Linked DNA regions of Diceros bicornis minor. The protein of the gene in region 1 interacts with the protein of each later gene in a pairwise test. Links are inferred from orthologs where the notes say so. Each region holds a gene or a part of one and is shown on either strand. Other genes may lie near its edges. The genes, in order: GLRX3, CA9 and MAPKBP1.

What was found.
Region 2: the proteins of GLRX3 (region 1) and CA9 interact in binary tests that used the Homo sapiens proteins (3 or more experiments, as listed by UniProt). The two-hybrid records come from large-scale screens. The link is inferred for Diceros bicornis minor from reciprocal best matches to the Homo sapiens genes GLRX3 and CA9.
Region 3: the proteins of GLRX3 (region 1) and MAPKBP1 interact in binary tests that used the Homo sapiens proteins (3 or more experiments, as listed by UniProt). The two-hybrid records come from large-scale screens. The link is inferred for Diceros bicornis minor from reciprocal best matches to the Homo sapiens genes GLRX3 and MAPKBP1.

What each region holds. Positions count from the first base shown.
Region 1 is NC_080745.1:92,341,448-92,345,193, reverse strand, and holds the start of GLRX3 (glutaredoxin-3), read right to left. Parts: upstream 2,908-3,746; 5' UTR 2,887-2,907; coding exon 2,798-2,886; intron 1-2,797. UniProt on the Homo sapiens protein: Together with BOLA2, acts as a cytosolic iron-sulfur (Fe-S) cluster assembly factor that facilitates [2Fe-2S] cluster insertion into a subset of cytosolic proteins.
Region 2 is NC_080767.1:4,100,005-4,103,750, reverse strand, and holds the start of CA9 (carbonic anhydrase 9), read right to left. Parts: upstream 2,697-3,746; 5' UTR 2,621-2,696; coding exon 2,221-2,620; intron 1,368-2,220; coding exon 1,338-1,367; intron 1,065-1,337; coding exon 894-1,064; intron 738-893; coding exon 595-737; intron 513-594; coding exon 420-512; intron 1-419. UniProt on the Homo sapiens protein: Catalyzes the interconversion between carbon dioxide and water and the dissociated ions of carbonic acid (i.e. bicarbonate and hydrogen ions).
Region 3 is NC_080744.1:39,433,853-39,437,598, reverse strand, and holds the start of MAPKBP1 (mitogen-activated protein kinase-binding protein 1), read right to left. Parts: upstream 2,883-3,746; 5' UTR 1,935-2,882; intron 1,817-1,934; exon of another isoform or gene 1,517-1,816; 5' UTR 1,291-1,516; coding exon 1,174-1,290; intron 1-1,173. UniProt on the Homo sapiens protein: Negative regulator of NOD2 function. It down-regulates NOD2-induced processes such as activation of NF-kappa-B signaling, IL8 secretion and antibacterial response. Involved in JNK signaling pathway.

The DNA.
Region 1 (3,746 bases):
TTCGGATCCCAGGCGCAGACCTAGGCACTGCTTACCAAGCCATGCTGTGGTGGCGTCCCACCTATAAAGTAGAGGAAGATGCGAACGGATGTTAGCTCAGGGCCAACTTTCCTCAGCAAAAAGAGGACTGACTGGCAACAGATGTTAGCTCAGGGCTAATCTTCCTCACCAAAAATAAATAAATAAATAAATAGGAACCTTTCACAAATTTCTTACACACCTTAAGTACCTACCCTAAGGAAGTAATTAAAAAGACAAAGATTTATGTATATGAATACTTTCCCATTATTTTACATAGAAAATAACTGTAAAAATCTATTGTTCAACAATATAGTTTTTTAATGGTCAAGCAATAAAATATTATAACACCATTAAAAATCATATTTCAAGTAATTTTTAATGGCATGAGAAAATGCTCACAATATGATTACAGTTTTTAAAAAATTAAAATAGGTTACCAAACTGTTTAACAGTAAGAGCCAACATACGTAAAACAGAAAAGGACACACACAACTTAAATTCCATTACTACTAATGTGGCTTTGAAGAGTAATTTAACTTCTCTTAACTTCCACATTTGTAAAATAACAATAACTAACACCCTGGGATGTTGGGAAGATCAAACAAGAATATAAAAGCACTTTGAAAACATTAAAGAATGATATTAATTAACAATGTTAATTGTTATTTTAAATTATCCACACTATTCTCAAATTTAGATGCTTAACTTCCACTTTTCAATTAAGTACAGGATACGTAATATCATAAGAACATAAACGTGAAGCAAACATAAATGCTGTCATCCCCTCCTGGATTATATGTGACAGGATTCTCTCCACCTTTGTGGATAGCCCAACATGCAGGGTGCATTGTTTAAGGAAAACTTTTAGAGAAAGACCAGGGTCAAATCCTGACTAATGTGATTTTAAACAATGTAATGAGCTTCAGTTCTTCATCAATAAAACAATCAGTGCTCAATAAATGGTTGTCTCTCTATTAAGGGTCTTCTGCTCCTACGGTTATTCATCCGCAGGTAACACCAGCTACCATTTATTAAACACTATCATATACTAGACTCTGTTTAATATTTTATAAATGGGCAAAACCTTAATTACTCTGCAAATGGGTATTAATCCCCATTGTATAGACCAACTGAGGTTTCAGTAACAAACTGATTAGATGACTGAAGCAAAAAAAAAATTTCAACTCATACAAAATTTTTTAATTGAGAAGTGATGATTTGGAAAGTACACTTTGATTACATTGAAGAGTACTATTTAATAATGTTAAACTTTTCCATTTTCACAAAAAGCAGCAGAGATTTATTCCTTCCCCAGATGCCACGCGTCATTTCCCACGTGCCCATTTAAACTAACCATTATGGAAAAGGTATGTTGTTTTCTGGGTCCTTTCAAGTACAGACCAGTGGCAAGAAAACACCCAAATGGTATTCACATTTAAGCTTTTACCAGTTGTATTATTTTTAAAGACTTTTATGTTAAAAAAATGAAACATAAAAACAAAAATGTGAAAACACACAAAAAGCAAAAGAGTCTTCCAAGTGATACTAAGTTCAAACACTTATTAAGGGCAGGTCCACACAAGCCCTGCTCATTTCAGGAGGCCACCTCTGGAGTACTCCGTAACCGTGCTGCTTTACGATCTGTGGCGTGTTGCATGAATCAGAACCCGCCTTTCATCAATGAGTAAACGTCATTTCCCGGCCACCTCCCCTAGCTTTTTTTTTTTTTTAAACAATTTTCCAAGTAAACCTGAAATGCTGCAAGAGCTGTTAACTTAACCCCATTCTCAACAAAAGCACCTCCCCATCTCATCTGCACTCTCCATCTCATTCTTCCAATCAGAGCACTACCCGCCTCTAATCCACAATCCCACTGCATTCAGGTCAACAAGTACTTATTGCCTGTGAACTCCACGCAAGCCCTCTGCTCCCCACTGAACACAGGGCTCCCGCATGCAAGGCTATGACATGGCATGCCATTATGTTACGTGCATCCTCTCATTTAATCCTCACAGCCCCGAAGCGGGCACGATTCCAACCCATCTCCCGCGGAGGAAACTCAGGTCTGGTAACGAAACCCGCCCAGCGGTTCCACGGCTAGCAGGCGGCTGAGTTGGGGACCGGCTCCCAGGAACCCGACGCCGGAGCTCGCATCTTACCCACCAGCAGGACCGCCGAGAACCACCCGGTCCCCGGAGGGCGCTACAAGGGGAAGTGGTACCACCCCTAGGAAGCCCCCGTGCGCCCGCGAGCTGACTGTGAGCGTTTGTACGGCTCGGGATGTCCATCTGTCCCCCAACAGGGGCTCTACGCACCCCTGCCGGCCTCTGAAGTCGTCCGAGAGCGAGAGGCCGGGTGCCACCGGGACAGCCCGCGAAGCCGGTTGGGGAGACAGGAAACCCCCGGCCGCAGCCGCGGGCGCGCTTGGGACGCGAGCGCGGCCCGAGTGTCCACAGGCCTCACCCGCCCCCTCCAGGGCGGCAGGACCGCCCCCGCCGGGCCTGCCCCAACCGCCGGGTGCGGACCGGCGGCGGGGTCTCCGCGCCTCCGGCCGGGCTGAGTCACCGCGGCCGCCGCGCCCAGGCCGCCAGGCGACAGGCAGGATCGGGGCGCGGGCCTGGAGCGCCCGGCGGGCCGGGGGTCGGGACGGGCCCCCTCCTCTTCCGGGCCGGGAGCTGGGGGTCCGGGGCTGCCCCGGCCGCTCCGCCCAGGCCCAGCCGAGCCGGGCCGCCCGCCGCCCCGTGCCCTCGCCCCCGCCGCCCGCCGCCCGGCTTACTTGGCTCTGAGGCGCAGCAGCTCCTCAAACTGCCGGGCCGAGCCGACCTCCACCACCGCCGCCGCCGCCTCAGCCGCCCCCGCCGCCATGCTGCCGCCGCCAGACACGACCAATCGAGCGCGGGCGGCGGAGGCGGGGCCTCGGGACGCTGCGTGCGGACGCCCCGCCCCGCCCCGCCGGGGCCTGCGCGCGCGGAGACTGAAGTGCCGGAGCGCGGGGCTTCCGGCCGCGCCTGGGGGCGCAGCAGCGCCTGACCCCCGAGGATCCTGACTGTCGGGAGTCCCGCCCTCGGAGATCCGGGCGGTCGGGCCTCCTGCCTCCCGGGGCCCCGGGCCTTCCTCGCGGCTCCTCCAGCAGCCGGGAGAGGGGTGTGCGCGTGGGTGACGTGTGTAAGTGAAGTCAGGTGTGCCCATGTAACAAGCTGAAATTTTAATCTAAAATGGAATTATGCAAAGCCGGGGATGGAATGAGAGGTCAGGGAAAGGGAGGTTGCGCCGTCTCCGAATGTCAACACTGACAGGGCGCTTCGAACTCGGTCCTGAAGGACCACGCACCCCCGCCACCGCGTGTCCGGCCGCAGGCGCCCCCGGCGGTGCCACCCCTGGGCTCAGCCCGTGCGCGGACCCATCACCCACGGTGACCTAGGAGCAGCAGGGCCCGGGCGGGTGCGCCGCCTCCCAGAACCACAGGCCCAGCTCCCGGACCCCCACGCTCCTTTCCAGGATCTCGCCCCTGCTTCCAGGACCCCCGCACCCCTCTCTCTCGGGCCCCTCTAACCTCGGGGCCGTCCCTGGCTCCCCTTGGCATCCCCCTCACGTTGACTCTCCAGGTGGTGTCCTCTCCCCGACTTTCCGCTCCGCCTTGTCGTGCCTCCCACACACTCCGCCGCCTGGGTAATCTTGTCCATGCCCCTAATTTCTTCCACTGCCAGGGAACCCTCAACCGCAAG
Region 2 (3,746 bases), on another chromosome or scaffold:
TATGGGTTATAGGAGTATTAGAGAAATTACTCTTCCTGATGCCCAGTCTAGTGCATCTGCCACTCATTCCCTGAATGGGCTATATTCTGAGTTTTCCCATAGTGAAGGCTTCAAGTTTCACCTCCTCTGTGAAGCCTTCCTGACCGCCTCTTTTACTCTGACTACTCTCATATATGTGTATCCTGTCGGCCTCCCTCCTGTCGGCCTCCCTGACTGGCTGTGGGTTCCTGAGAGACAAGGACCCACGGTTTCTGGCCCAGTGCCTAACTCACAGTGGATACTGAACGCACGAACTAATGAGTGAATGAGGATGACAGCCAGGTGCTAGGGTGAGTGTGCTGGGATGGGGTCTCTGGAAGCAGGATACGCGGAGCCCGGGGCCTGGGGAAGCAGGGAGCGGGAGTGTCCAGGGCTGGTACCTGAAGAAAGGCGGCCAACACGGCCAGGCCCCCCGGGCGCCCCAGGGCCTCGTCCACTTTGGCAAATGCAGTGCTGATGTGAACCACGTGGATCTGGAGAGGACATGAGTGCAGGAGTGGGCAAGATCCAGGGCCCGCGCCCCCTTCCCCCCTTGGCAGACAGCTGCGCGCTCACCTCGGCCGGGAAACGGTGGCCGCCAACCGTGTGCTCCGAGCCCGGGAGGCCCGCAGCCCCCCAGTGCAGATGTAGCTGCAAGGCCCGGTACTCCCGCCCGGGGCCCAGGGCCATGTCCAGCCCTGGAGGCAGGGTCAGCTGCACTGCGGGCGGGAGAGGCAGGTGAGCCGGGCCGGCCCCGCCCGGAGGGCCAGCCCAATTCCGGAGCACCACCCGCTTCGCCACGCTCCTTCGCACCCCCAGATAGCCTCCGCCCCCCGCCCCCCGCCCGCCCGAGGCTCCACCCCGAAACCCCTCACCCGTGTGGCCATTGTTGCGCAGGCGCAATTCTGGGATCGGCGGGAGCTCAAAGCCCAAGAGTTGCAGCGGGCGCAGCGCTGGGCAAAATGCGGTGAGCTCGGGGGAGATATCCACCGGGGATTGGAAGCGGCCTGCGCAGGCTGGGGACACCTGGGGCCAGGGCGGGTCGCCTGGGGTGGGAAAGTATGGGCAGGAAGTCTGGTGACAAGATCGGGAACTTTTAGGAAAGCGGGGTAGAAAAAGTAAGGGGCAGAGTCAGGAGGCATCGGGGCGGGAAATAGAAATCCGGGATGTGGACGGAGACAGGCAGCGGGCGGTGTCGGGGCCTGGCAGACGTGGGTGCAGTGGGGGGACACCCAGGACCAGAGTTCGGGGATGTTTGAGGGGCAGATCAGAAGAGCTGGGTGCCCAGACTGGGTCTGTGCAGGGGGTGGGTGTCTCACCTCCGTAGCGCCAGCGTCTGTGGTCATCACCTGCATAAATGAGATGAAAAGGCCGATCTTCAGCCCAGTCTCTCCCCGTGGCCAGAACGCGGTGGGCCCCTCTCACTAGCAGGGGTTCACAAACTCAGATGCCTTACAGGGCAGACAAGTGACAGAAATGCCTAAAGCGGGACACGTGTAAAGCACAATAGATTGCAGCCAAACATACCACCACAGCCTGGTGGGCCACACAAAGACCCTACTGGCCTTGGAGATACCAGTTTGCAGCCATTGTCTTACGGTCTGCAAAGTGGGTGGGGCCTCAGTCCCACGCCCAAATCAGTACCCCATCTTTCCTTTCTCCCTTACTCCTCTCCTCCCCACTCATCCCTCTTCCCTTTCTTTTCTCCAACTCCTTTCCAAAAGTTCCTGGCTTGGGATTCATGATACCATGTTCCCCTACCTGCTGTTTCCTTCTTCCTAGGTCTCAGTTTCTTCATCTGCAGACTGAAGATGGGGTGATCTCTACAAGTCCTTCCTCCTCTTCCTCTGGTCCCCTCATCTTCCCTCGTCTCTTCTCTCATACTCTTCCCTCTTACCACCTATGTTCTCCCTCTCCACATTCCTCATCACTTGCTCCTCTCCAACCTCCCGCTTTCTTCTTTCCCATCTCTCCCTGCTCACCTCTCTCCATCTGTGTCCCACTTTTGTCTCCCCATCCGTCCCCTTCTAGCTCTGAAAGGGGAGAAGGGTCTAGTGGCATGGGAGCCCCTGGGGTTGGGAAAGGCTGTTGTCAGAGTGCAGGCTCCTCTCCTTCCCTGAAGAACCACTGCGTGGGCTGAGGTTGGTGAGGGAAGGCACGAACCTGCCAGAGCCTAGGTTTGGAGGACTGACAACCACTTACCTTTATTGTCCCTGTGGGCATTATTCTGGGGGCCTCTAGTGTCCCTGGGAGCCTCAACAGTAGGTAGGTCCTCTAACTTCAGAGAGTCCTCTTCTTCTGTTTCAGTCTTCATTCCAGGTGGGTCCTCCTCTCCAGGTGGGTCCTCCTCACTGGGGAGGTCATTCTCGCCCAGTGGATCCTCTTCCCCAGATGAATCTCCTCCCATGGGGGGAGTTTCCTGCATCTGGGGCAGGCTCTGGGGATGGGCAGGCACCAGGAGCAGCAGTAACAACAGCAGTTGCACAGCGGGGTCCTGGCCAGGGGCCGGGATCAACAGAGGGAGCCAGGGGCTGGGGCACAGGGGAGCCATGCGGCTGACTGCGGGGTGTCGGGACATGGTGTGTACGGGCTGTACGTGCATCAGAGACAGGAGCTGGGTTAGGGAGGAGCAAGCCTGGAGGGGAGCAGGCTGACTCACAGAATGCCCTTTTGTAGAGACGGAGCCAAAGTCTCACAGGTCTGTCTGGCCCTGTGCCCCCTCTCCGATACCAAAGCCTGGATGGGGGTGGAGTGGGGGGCAGGTATGTGCACAGGCAGAAGGTTATCGGGGTCATGGGCTCAGCCTGGAACCCAAGGCACCACCTGGCACTATACAGGCTCTCCCTGGTGCCGCCAGGCTGCTCGCCAGCCAGCTCCAGCTAACCCTGGCCTACTTCCCGGCCCCAGGCAGGGAAAGGGAAAGACAGGGAGCTGGGGCCCCCACAGCCTCTGGCTGAGAGGGGAAGCAACCCATGTCTACATCCTTGGCCCAGCCAGGGAGCAGTAAAGGGGTAGGACAATCTGGAGGAGCCCGGGGTCGGGGAGGGGGTGGTGGTGGTGGAATGGATGAGTAGATGGGAGGTGAATTTGAGTGTGAATGGAAAACTGAGTATATGTATGAGAGGGACTCTGATGGGTTTAAACTAAATTTATTTTTCATCATATTACACCTCTGCTCAAGAACCTCCATTGGCTTCCCACTACCTACCAAAGTATCGTCCATCTGTCCATCTGCCCCCTCTAGCTGACTTCCAAGTCCTTTCAAAATCTTACCTGAGAGACCTTTCCATCTTATCTCCTGCTACTCTCCCTCATTGTCCAGCCAAATTAAACTATTCATTTTTTCCCCAAAACTTTGACCACATTTGTTCCTCTAGTTCTCACTGCCTGGAATGCCATTCACTCCTACAATTAACAAGTATTCATTTAGCATCTACCATGTGTCAGGCACAGGGCTATGGACTCGAGGTAAAGAAATGAATAAGACACGGTCCCTGTCCTGAGGAGCTCACTGTCTAGTGAGTGATGGCAAATATTATCATAATATTTAGAGGAAAGTGAATAATTCTGCCTCAGAAGGTAATACAGAAATAGGCAGATTTGATCAGGGCCTTGAAGAAGTAGCAGTTCAAGTGGTGAAAACAATGGGGAGAATGGTATTCTGGGCAAAGGGGAGGCATCAGATATTTGGAGCAAGAGAATGACAGAATCCAGTTCTCATATTAGGT
Region 3 (3,746 bases), on another chromosome or scaffold:
AACAATGATTAATAAGAGACCTTAGAAAGGTCACTATCTCCACTGCCATGGAACCTTGTGGCCAATTTCAATTCAATACAATATCTGCTGAAATATACAGGAAAGCTGTTCACCTTCTGACCAAATCCAAGTAAGGTTCTGCTAAGGGGTAGGGATCTGAACAAATCCCTCCCAGAACCCTGCCATGTTGTACATTAGCACTCTAAATCATTCCTCATTGGCTTTACGTGATACAGGCAAGGCAATAAAACGCTTCGGTCTCAAATGTCTCTCCCTGTAGCAATCCTGTACCACATAAAGCTACTGTGTTTACAGCCTACTAATAAGACACAAAAGTCTAATCTGATCCTGTGGGAACAAAACCCTAGACCCCCTCAGAGATTAAATAAATTTAGTCTACTTTTGTATTGTCAAAGTTGTGGGGCTCAACAAAGTTGAAGAAAGCATAAAGACCAACACCCAGACAAGTGAGGGGATGGAAAGTGACCTGGCATCTGAGGTACTTCTGCAGCAGAGCTCTGTGCATCTAGTGAATGAGATAAGTAATGCTCAAGGGCAAACCAGAACTGTTCTGCGGGCAGATATCTGGCTCCTTGCATGTTACCATTCCTAAGAAGCCAAGAAGCTTCAGTTAAATTAATCTAAGTCTCTTGAAGAGACAAATAAATTTGTTTTGACCCAGGCAAGGGCATTTACCAAGCCAATTCCTCAGTCTAGGTGTTTTAGCATATTTCTTTCTGCTACTACTGTCTTACATAACCCCAGCTGTGACACTAACACTTGTAGTTACATTAGTCACAGCTTAGCCCATCACAGGGTATGTGGTCTCACCACCTTCTTCCAAGAAGGGAAACTGAGTCATAGCATATCAACTGGCTTCCCCAAGCACAGACTTAGGTTGTAGTGAGGCCACAATTAAACCCAAGTTGCCTTCCTCCTATTTCTCTCTTTTCATGGATGATTCTCAGCATGCCCAACCCTGTGCTCTTCTTCCTTTAATCTAAAACTAAATCAATGCTTTCTTGAGCAGCAGAGACGGGCACACTTGATCCTTTAGAGCCAACAGGAGCTTCTAGTTCTCCTCTTTCCAAAGATAAAGAGGAAGGTGAAAGAGGAACATGGAGCAGAGGAGGGGAGGGTTACAAAGGGGTGGCTCCCAACACTAGGACTCACCTTGGAGCTGAGGTCCTCTCTCCGGTTTCCTGCCTTACTCCTGCGTAATTTGATGGATGGGGATCGCAGCAGGTTCTTGATCCGGCTGGTAATGGTTGACCCTTCCACAGCCATCATGATGAGGAGCCCCTGGGACAGTTCCTTGCCCAATCTTGGGACTTGTCTCAACAGTGGCACTGCCTTCCCACTCCACAGGGCCTTCCAGTATGCCCTCTCACTGACTTGAGATGGCAGAGGCCACCTTACCTTCTGCCTAGCCGTGTCTGCAGGTCTTATTTCTAGGTATTGCTCTCTCCCTTTTCCTCATCCCCGCCTTCAAGCCCTGCGCGGTTTCTTACAACGTCTGAAGGATAGACCCATGAAAAAGGGGGGTAAAAAGCCTGAGCTATGACGAAATGCCAGGCCCACGCCTGCCAGAGGCGTTTAACTGGAGGGATAGGACGGGCCCTAGTAGGACTAGTGGCTGGTCTGGTCCCCGTTAATTCCCAACTGTTCCCATGGCAACTGCAGTGTCCAAGGCAAGAGGCCACCGAGAAGTCCCGCAAGGGGCCTGGGCACCTGTGTTAGCGGCTGCGGGGACACTCGGCGCGGCGTGGCTCGCTGTGGCCCGGCAACTCGTTCTGCCACGGGAGCCTCCCTCCCCCACCCCCGACCCTCCGGAGCTCGCTCTTGGTGCTCCACAGGAGCCCTGGACCTTTCTCTTTCACCTCCCTCAGAAACCCCTGCTACTCGCCAGCGCCCCCGCTCGGGCCCGGCCTCACCAGCCCCAGGGCCGGACCGCCCGGCTCACAGCGCCCTCAGGCATCGCGCTCGGCGCTCTTAGCTCCGCGGCGGCAGCTGTAAGAGCAGCTATGGTGGCAGGAGCGGCTCAAAACGCGAACTACCGCCTGGGCCAAGCTACGGGCGGGGTAGGCGGAGCCGCAGCGAGGGGGTGCGGTCTGTATCCAGGAGGGCGTTCCGAGAGTGGACGAGTAAGGTTCATGGGGGCGGAGCCAATGAAAGCGGCTAGGAAGCAGAGGACATGGGACTCGAGAACCACGGATTCTGCAAACGGAGACGCCGCGGTATCGCTCCTAGAGGAAGGTCAACAGAACACGGCTTCAGAATTGAGAGAACCAAGCCTTTTATGGTATTATCAGGACTGGTCCCCTAGAGATCGGCACTTCCCAGAGCCCCAACAAGATGGTAACCACGCCCGCAGGGTGCTACAGCTGGCATTTGATAGGCCCGAGAGACCAGAACTGAAACTAACCCCTAAGTCAGAATTGTAAGATTGAGGTACAGCCATAAGGCTCTGCTCCCATCGACCCCAAACCGGGGAATTTAAAGCGATTAGTTTCTACTCTCCGCCTGCCCGCCCGCGTTGACCTACGTGGAAATTACTCTCCTAACTCTTTCCATCGCTAAAGTGTTTTGAACTGGGCAACCTGATTGGCCATGATGGAAGAAAGAGGAGGGAGATGATAGCCTTGAATAGAGCTTTAGGCATGTGCGGGAAGGGGAAGATAAGTGAATGTGCCTATGGGATATATTTGTTTCATGGTTTCTTTAACCTTTAGCTAGTCCCGCCGAGCTCTTTTACCTAGAATTAACCAGGACCTTGTTGGTCCAGATGTTTTCCTTGTTTATGTCAAAATTTTCTCGTGAAACCTTTTCCCTAGTACTGTTACTTTAGCGAGGTCACTGTCAAGCTTGCTGGCACTAGTTTTAGCAGCATAGTTTTTCTAAACGGGGTGGGGGGGGGCGGGGCGGGCGGCACAGAAATACTTTTACATATTCCTATTTCATAGATGTCTCAGCCTGCAAGTTTATTTTCTGGAAGCCTTACTGTCTCATTGCTACTTCAAGAAATTGCCTTATGAAAAGGTTAGCCTAAGCTAAAAGACTTGGGGTCCCAGAGAAAAAATACACTGGTGTACCTGTCTCAGCCTATCCAGATCCTTGGAACCCCTGGGGGAGATATGTTAGCAAGAGGGAAGGACCTCTAAACCCATCGCTGTGGGTGGGTCTTGTACAGCCAAGTGGCAAAATAAGTATGTACCTGTGTGTATTGTAGCCACGTTTTAAAAACGAAATCTATAAAAAGCTCACGTTGACACAAAGATCAAGGAAGCCACCTCCTAGAAAACCAACTGGCAATACCTACCAGAAGCTTCCTTCCCTTCAACCATGCACTGCAGATGTAAGGAAATACAAAATGAGATTTTCACATTTATTTCCCAAATCTAGACGAAGGAGGCAAGAGTCATTAGCCACACAGTATGAAATAGGGGGTTGGTTCCTTCAACTCCTTGCTAGCCTGTAACTTTACCTCTCTGTGGGGGTAGGAGCCAATCTGTAACTGCTAATAGATGGTGCCACCTGGTGTCCTTACTTGTATGCTGCATTCCCCAGCAACTGCCATCTCTACCCATAAGAGTTGTCCTCAATTCTCTCCAGATCATTTTTGTGTGCACTAGTGGTTTTCTCACTTACCTAACCACTCATGGCCAGGCAAAGGTGTTTACAAAGTATCATTAGTCATTTCCTGTCCAAAGCTACCCTGGTTTATCCCTTAGGGAAAATGTTCCCCA